Rattus norvegicus: one gene and its partner. The protein of the gene in region 2 interacts with the protein of the main gene of each other region in a biochemical or structural test. Links are inferred from orthologs where the notes say so. Each region holds a gene or a part of one and is shown on either strand. Other genes may lie near its edges. The genes, in order: Fbln5 and Loxl1.

Region 1 (4,337 bases), on a different chromosome or scaffold from region 2:
AAAACAAAAAACAGGAGCAGCAACACTGATGATCCATGAGGACGTCATAGTGAGAAGAGTGACGGTCACAAACACATAGAATTCAACTTACATCAGGTACCCCAGAACTTTCAGACTCAGAAAGAAAAATGGTGGCTCCAGGTTGTGAGCTTCTGGGGCAGGGAGGGGGTGTTTAATAGGTAAAGGATTTCTTTAAGTTGTTTTCTTTTGTGGCTTGGGGCTTGTGCCTTTTTTTTTTTTTTTTTTTGAAACAAGCTCTCACTCTGTAGCCCAGGCTAACCTACAACCATCAATATGGTCCAGTATCCTCAAACTTGGGGCAATTGTACCTCGGCTCCCTGGGTATTGGGATTACAAGACACTTCTGCTGGCCTCTTTTTTGTTTTTCGTTTTGTTTTGTTTTTTTAAGACAGGGCCTCATGCAGCCCAGGCTAGCCTCAAACTGGTTATGCAGCCAAATCTGGCTCAGAACTCCTGATTGTCTCCTGCCTTTACCTCCCAAATGCTGGGGTTACAGGTGTGCACCACACAACACAGAGTATGGTACAAGAGCTATTTTGCAGGTTAAAGAGTCATGCATGGAACCTGGGCATATAGCCAAGGGAGCCTATGGAACACTATCAACATGGGCACTTAATGCAGGAAAGATAGAGACAATGTGAAGTCTCTGCAGACGGTCAAGTCTGTTAGCACACTGTTCATCTTGCAACTACAGCTTACAACACAGATACTGGGCAGGAGAGCCACAGAGCTGTGGTCCAGCTGCCATTCACCTGAGCTCGCTGCTTTGTGCCATGGGCCAGGAGTACAGTTTTGCTTTGATAAGAATGTCAAGAGTCAGCAGAGGAAGCTTCCTGGAGGGTGGTGATCTTGCATGTTTCTCAGCACGGCTGTGAACCGGAGGCTTACTATTTACCCACCCAGCGCCATGGCTCTACAGCCCCCACCTTTGCAGAACGAGTGCTCAGTAGACCCCAAGCTCACTGACATCCCAACCCGCAGCGAGCGGAGAAATAGCAGTAGGTACGTAGAAGACGCGGAGTGAAGGCAGCACCTAGGCACCCAGACAAAACTGAGTCCGATGTGGTCCTGGAAGACGCAAACCCACTTCCCTCACGGAGTCCCAGATCCAATCCTGGGTAGACAGGTTTTCATTTCATTTAACCGCCTGTGTGAGTGAGCCAGGTTCTCCAACGTTGGAGACAGCTCTGACCTTATAAAGTACAGAGCCAAATCCCTGGGCTTTTCGGATATTTGTGAGAGCCAGACTTTATATCTGGAAGGAATAAGAGAACAATAACAAATTCATTTTCCAGGCTGTAGATTATGAATTTCAATGTTTTCCTGTTTCTTCTCATGAAGTTTCCTTTCAGGTGGTTATAAAATCCTGTCTCGTTTATGTTGGAGACAGAGCAGCTTGACTGCATGCAGTACAGCTCAAGAGAGACTGGAAAAGGCGTGCTAACCCTACCGGCTTCTCCCCTACCCCACTCTCTGTTCCTTTTGGTGAAAGCCAGCCCAGGGCTGGCCAGCCCCAAGCCCAGCCTCCTGGAAGAGCGGGGGCCAAATAATCTCCAGGCTAATAGAGAGGCTTTGCAGAAAAAAAATCGTACCAAAAATGAAGCAAAATTAATACTGGAGAGGAGAAACTCTGTCTCAAACTTTTCTTTTGAATCTGGGTTCACCATCCAAAAGAAGAAGAGGAGGGAGAGGAGGAGGAGGAGGAGGAGGAGGGGGAAGAGGAGGAGGGGGAAGAGGAGGAGGAGGAGGAAGAGGACAGAGCCTCCAAGTGCCTGTCAATGACAGACATTGCTGGTCGGCGATTCGGGATGATAATGTTAACTATGTCTTACCATAATATGGCTCAGTTCGTATGCGTGTTAGCATGCATGCACCCCTCCCACATGCAAGCACACACAGAGAAAGTGTGTAGGTCTGTGCAGGGCAGCTCTATTTTCAAGAGGCACTGGAGAAGGGGAGGACAGATGTCATCTTTAAACTTCCTCAAGGCTCAAGGATTACTTGACTGGAATTGCAATTTCCGCAAAGAACAGCAAAACATTTGCTTACATGCGTCTCTGTCTGCAGTGTCCACTGTTCGTTGGCTCGAAACTTCTAGGTCCCATTCCCTCTGTAAATCGCACACATAGAGCAAACGCAGACAGGAGTGTTCGGAGACTCCTTCTGCTTGTCCCACAGCCGTCGCAGCAAAGCAGTTGCTGGTGCCGTAGTCAACAGTCTCCCAAATTTAAAAAATATGTAGTGTGATATTTTAATAACTGCGCACAGCGTTGCTGCCCTTTCCAAAAAGAAAGAGAAATGATCCAAAGAGGCTGTCTGCTGCCTCTCTCGAGATGCTGACTCCTGATGCTGTTAGAAAAATCCCCACTCCCAAACCAAGACTTCGAGATGAGCGCAGCTTTTTGTAATTAACAGGGTCATTGCATCACTTGCTAAAAGTCTTTTCCAGTGCCCTGACACAGGCGGAATCTCAGCCATAGCCATTTTCCACCCATCAGGTCTGGAGTTAGGTTTCTCAAGCCTGGAGACAGTTCCTGGCGCCTTCCAACCTACCTTTTTAATCCTGGCATATCCAAGATGCGCGGGAGGAGAGGTGATTTGAGGAAGGCAGGCTCTGCGCGGGACCGGGCAGCTTGGTTTCCGAGGGGCCGAACGGGGCTGCGCGGAGGGCCGGGGACAGTGCCGGGTGCTGGGAGCCACTGCAGAGCCCTCGCCGCCGGCACCTGGTTTCGCTTAACCCCCTTCAGTAATTCAGCATTAAGCCAATTGGAGGAGGAATGTTAAAAATGAACACTTCATTTTCTAAGTATGTTAAACAATGCAAATGGGGCCTCGGTCTGGACACAGCTGGTTCAGATTACAGCGCTCACCAACTGGCTAGACTCCTCACAACAATCTTGGGGCGTCTGCCAGGGCCAAGTGCTCGGTGCTGGGAGGGGAGCCCAGCAGAGGGAGAGCGGGGCTGAGGGGCGCCGGGCCTCCCCGGGGCGGAGCGGGGCGCGTGCGAGGGGGCGTGTCATCAGGCCCTGTGGCAGCAGGAACTTGAACTCACCACCAAAGCGGCTTCAGGGATGTGAGCAGTTGGGAACCCGAGGCTTAAAGCCAGGGTTGGAACAAGCGCGATACCTAAGCAAGGATGTGGGGTAAGGGAGGATCCGGGAAGAACAGGGAGATTGAAGGAGAGCAAGCGATGGCTGAGATCTCTGGCTGCCTTCACCTCGTCCTCCTTGGCTTTTAGTTGCTGTGTGTAGAAAGGCGGTTTGTAAAAAGTTAAAGGCGAGAAAGCCTAAGAATGGTGGGTTACACAAGGACTCTGGAAGTCCTCCCTCCCCTTTGTTTTCTAGCTCTGGAACCCCCTATCGAGTGCAAAAATGCCAAAGACACTGCTCTCCAAAAGACAGGACGGGGCTACTACACTGCAAGCCCTCCCTTGCCTGAACCTTCTCTTGGACCCTCAACTGCCTGACCTACAGTTTAGAGAGCACAGGGGAAGAGTTTCCCTCCCTTACCATGCCTCTGTGCACTAGAAACTAGCTCCACTTCCTTGGAGGTGAGAATAAAAGGGGTTGAGTGACTTCCCCACTGGCTCACGTCTCTCAGAGATGCCGTCAAGCCTCTGAAGTCTGCATCTTTATGTACTCTTTTCTAACGACACTGTTTTGAGGAAATGGACTCCTACTCTAAAATCTCATTAGACTGGACAAGAGCAGCCAGCCAGACGTTGATGCTGTTGAAGCTCGGAATCCAATTGACCCGATCTATTTCCTATGGGTGTATGAAATGTCTAAGACTAAACTATATTTAGGTTCATCTCATTCAGGAGATGGTACATCCCTCCCGTTGTTCTAATAAGTAGGATTATAAGAATCTTTAAGGTTCACCAGTACTGCCCTAAGGGGGCGAAATAAAGAGATTCAGGTGGAGAAATGAATGAGAGTAACCATTCAAAATAGCTAGACACCTAAGTGTGCACACGGGCCAGCTCTGTCTACGTAAGGTTCAAAGGCAGGACTGGCGGGAGCTGAGTTCTGACCAAGGTGCTTCGACAAGGCACACAGACTCGGACTCCATGATGTTGTGCTGTAATACGTTTCGAAATGCCAGAGGCTCCTAATACACTGATTTTGAAGGCTTTCCAATATAGTTTATAGTTCTGACAGTAGAATTGTGATAGTCACATAGACCACTTTACTCACAAGGTGGCTCAAAACTGCTGGTAACTTCAGTTCCAGGGAATCTGATTCCCTCTTTTTTTTTTCTTTTTATTGGATATTTTTAATTTACATTTCAAATGTTAGCCCCTATCCCATGCCCCC
Region 2 (4,266 bases):
GTCACTGTTGTAGGAATCCAGACACATGCTGGATCTAGGGTGTCACAGGCAAGTGTGCTATTACAAGTCCCCACGTCTCTGGCTAGATTATAGATATCCAGTGTCCCGAAACACATAAATGAAGTATCAGTCCCGGAAAACAGTGCAGTGGGTCAATAAACGCTTCCTGGTAAGAATGGAGGGCAGAGGAGTCCTTGTTCCCAAAGAGTATCATTCTGGCTGTTTTCCTCCTTAAATGGGGTCTAGGAGTTGTCCAGCATGAAGACAGGTACTTCCTGTCTGGTTTAAGGGGTAATCTTTGCCCTCCAACTCCCAAGGCCACAGCAGAAGACAGCCTGGGGGGTCTGTAGAGCCGTGTTTAGAATGTAACTTTTCAGGTACCAAGTAAAAGTTGAAACTTCTGGGACCTTTCTTATTATCCCTGTCATCCCCAGAGGGAACAGAGAATCAGCCAGAACAAATGGAGCTCTGTGGAATAATCTCCCAATGATCAAACGTGTCTACTAAATCAGAGTTGGAAGGAGCGTAAGATTCCCAAGTTCCCCCTCTTGGACGCTGCTTTATGTTAAAGGTTCCCCTTGCCTATCCCATATCCACCTGCTGGCTTCATCTTATCCGCGTGTCTACTCAGATCCCTTCTGACTATCAACTCAGGAAGCCCAGGACAGAAGCCACTGGGGGTGACTGATGTCCGCATCTACCATGAGCTCCCAAGTCCTGTTCAGCCCAGAGACATACCCACTCCAGTTAGTCTCCATGCCTGTAGGCTGAGACCTGGTAGAAGAGCTGAGGGCTCACTGTCTTTGTACTCAGGACCAAATGCTAAATGTCCTCGGGATGCACAATTACAAGGTGGCCCCAGCTAGAGGTGGGCTCAGGGAGGCTCATCAACAAAGATGCCTCTTGCTTTGCAGAAGCCGGAAGGCACCCCAAGAGCCCTAGGAAGAGGTGAAGTCAATGAAGAAAATAGAATTTAAAAAAAAAAACTATCCAGGGCTGAGTGGAACCAGCAGGGTAGTGCCCACATCTTAATCCTGCTGTGCTTGCCAGAAACCCCACTTACCAGGCCTGAGTCCCCAGGGGCCCCCTCCAACTCCCTGCCTCATTCCCTTCCTCCTAAGCAGGTCTGTGGCTTGGCTGGAAGCTACTAGGACTGAGGGAGCATTGCTCTGTGGGACAGGCCACATAGCTAAAACCCGGCGGGCCATAGGGCCCCGCGGAGGAGGCCCCAGCAGGCGGACCAGGTTTCTGAAACCTCCAGACACTTCCAGCCTGTTGCTTATTCATTCAGAGTGGGAAAGCGCCAGCCTAGAGAGCAGCCAGCCAGTGTGGGGTTGGCCATGTAAGGGCCCCAGGAGGTCCTGCCCGTCCCGTGCCCTGCGGAAAGCCTCGTGCAGCCCTGGGCACCGCCCCTGCCCTGCCCTGACCCCTTGGCCTCAAAATGCTGTCATCGGAGGAGCCGTCCCGCTCGGGACAAGGCCAGGATGGACAAAGCTAGAGCTTGGGCAGGCGAGGAGCCATCCTGTCCTCGAGGCCGTGGGAAGAGAAGCACGCACCGGGGCCCACTCCTGAGAGCCTCTCCGCCCACCCGGCCTCTGCAGAAGGGCCACTATGGCTCTGGCCGGAGCCGGCAGCCAGCTGGGGACCCTGGTGTGGGGAGCCTGCCTGTGCGTCCTGGTGCACGGGCAGCAAGAGCAGCCAGGACAGGGCTCGGACCCAGGACGCTGGCGGCAGCTGATCCAGTGGGAGAACAACGGGCAGGTGTACAGCTTGCTCAATTCGGGCTCTGAGTACGTGCCTGCGGGGCCCCAAAGAGGGGAGAGTAGCTCCAGGGTGCTACTGGCAGGCGCGCCCCAAACGTCGCAGCGGCGCAGTCAGGGAGGACCCCGGCGTCGGCAGGCGCCGAACCTGCCCCTGCCCGGACGCGTGGGTTCGGACACTGTGCGCGGCCAAACGCGGCACCCGTTCGGCTTCGGCCAGGTGCCAGACAACTGGAGAGAGGTGGCCGTCGGGGACAGTAACGGGATGGCTCGGGCCCGCACCTCCGTCTCCCAGCAACGGCACGGGGGCTCCGCCTCCTCCTCGGTTTCGGCCTCGGCCTTCGCCACCACTTATCGCCAGCCATCCTCCTACCCGCAGCAGTTCCCCTATCCGCAGGCGCCCTTCGTGAACCAATATGAGAACTATGACCCCGCGTCGCGGACCTATGAACAGGGCTACGTGTACTACCGCGGTGCGGGCGGAGGCATGGGCGCAGGGGCGGCGGCGGCAGCTGTAGCCTCGGCTGGGGTCATCTATCCCTTCCAGCCCCGGGCACGCTACGAGGAGTACGGCGGTGGGGGCGAGGAACAGCCCGAGTACCCGGCGCAGGGCTTCTACCCAGCCCCAGAGAGGCCCTATGCGCCCCAGCCCCAGCCTCAGCCCCAACCTCAGCCGCAGCCTCAGCCCCAACCTTCCGACGGCCTTGACCGTCGTTACTCGCATAGCCTGTACAATGAAGGCACCCCGGGATTCGAGCAGGCCTACCCTGATCCCAGCACCGACGTGTCGCAGATCCCCGCCGGGGCCGGTGGCACCTACGGTGCCGCTGGCGATCCCCGTCTCGGCTGGTACCCGCCCTATGCAGCCAATGTGCCTCCCGAGGCCTATGTCCCTCCGCGTGCGGTGGAGCCGCAGCCCCCATTCCGCGTGCTGGAACCACCTTACTTGCCTGTGCGAAACTCTGATGCGCCCTCCCAGGGTGGGGAGAGGAACGGTGCCCAGCAGGGCCGTCTCAGCGTGGGTAGTGTGTACCGACCTAACCAGAATGGTCGCGGTGAGTACAATCCACGAGCGCTTTGGTTCGACATTCTGGACACTGGTGAATTGCTGCCTCAGGGGTACAGACCCCGTGTTTCTTACCAAAGGCCTCCCAGTAGTTGCTGAGCAAAGACTCTTTAGCTGACAGCCCCAGTGTGCCTCTCTCTTCCTGAATCCACCCATTCTCCATCAGGGTCAAAGGCCTACCCGGTAGGCCTGTGTTTTGACTCTGGCTTGGGGGAAATCGTGGAAGGACTAGCCAAGTTATAAGAAGTACTTTGCGGATCTGGCGGAGGTCATCCAGGGACAAGTGGGGAAAGTCTTTCTCCCCTGCTTCTCCTTCTTCCAGTCAGGGAATCTCTTTAACACTCTTAGAAACCCCCCTATGCCTGTGCATAGAATGAGGCAAGGATCATGGGAACCTTGAACCTTCAGGGTGAAGAGGCCTTAAGGATGATGCTTTTTGAGGTGCAGCAGCAGTGTCCCCCGTACTTGGACCTCTGTGAGCTAGCTAGCCGCTGGTGAGGTAAGTAGGCAGTCAGAGAGCAGCACTTGAACAGACAAAAGTTTCAGACCCCTGAGGGGATCCCGCAAGGCTGGGATGCCAAGGCCCACTAGCCAGGGCATAAAATTCAACTGAGCACTAAAAAAAAACAAAAAAACAAAAACAAAAAAAACCTGGATAATGAAGATAAGTTCTATTTCAGTGCATTAAAAATCTCTTATGAACAAATATGTCCACATTTTAAACAGACTCGGTAATGTTTCCATAACCCGAAGCAAACTGAAAAATCAATACGGGCCGTTTCTTTATTTGAAACGGGATATTTGTTCATTGCAGATTTTTTTAATTGATTTTGTTTTTAAACACACCGCGTTAAATATTACTGCTCTTGGGCACTGCACTTCATGATGTTCTGTAAAACATAACCCAGGCCAGTGTACCTCACTTTAGTCTTGGCTCTGAGGGGAGAGACCCAGGAAATGTCTGGAGACAGGCCACCCTCTGGCTTTCCCCAGGGATGAAGATAGGACCTATTCTAGGGAAGGCCATGTCATCTGCACACAAGGGTCAGGGTGGAGCGCTCTTCCTCTGCCAGATGGGCAGCTTCCACATGTGCTGTTATTGTGACAGGGGCCAACTGTTGCGTCTGGCCAGTGCTGGGTGGCCATCGGCCCATCCTCAGCTGTCCTAGAATCCCCTTGCTGATGCTGTCCATCCAGAGCTGTCTGCTCTCTGGTCAAGCTTTCCACTGAGTTCTCAATGCACACACAGCACACCCCGGGGCAGCACTCACTGTCCACAATCCCTTCTCCATACCAGGGTTGCTACCACCAGGGCTGTCGGGTGAAATTGAGCCTTTGGGACCCAAAGGTGCTGGTGTCCCGCCCAGCCTTGGCTGCTCAGCCTCTGTCAGCACTGAATAATGATTTCTCCAGCCAAGATGGCCTATCTGAAGGGCTGCT

What was found.
Region 1: the proteins of Loxl1 (region 2) and Fbln5 form a complex in vitro, tested with the Homo sapiens proteins (2 studies listed by BioGRID and IntAct). The link is inferred for Rattus norvegicus from reciprocal best matches to the Homo sapiens genes LOXL1 and FBLN5.

Annotation. Positions count from the first base shown.
Region 1 is NC_086024.1:126,739,891-126,744,227, forward strand, and holds the start of Fbln5 (fibulin-5 precursor), read right to left. Parts: upstream 2,817-4,337; 5' UTR 2,592-2,816; coding exon 2,575-2,591; exon of another isoform or gene 2,127-2,574; coding exon of another isoform or gene 2,071-2,126; intron 1-2,070. UniProt on the Homo sapiens protein: Essential for elastic fiber formation, is involved in the assembly of continuous elastin (ELN) polymer and promotes the interaction of microfibrils and ELN. Stabilizes and organizes elastic fibers in the skin, lung and vasculature.
Region 2 is NC_086026.1:67,609,248-67,613,513, reverse strand, and holds the start of Loxl1 (lysyl oxidase homolog 1 precursor), read left to right. Parts: upstream 1-1,289; 5' UTR 1,290-1,611; coding exon 1,612-2,815; intron 2,816-4,266. UniProt on the Homo sapiens protein: Catalyzes the oxidative deamination of lysine and hydroxylysine residues in collagen and elastin, resulting in the formation of covalent cross-linkages, and the stabilization of collagen and elastin fibers.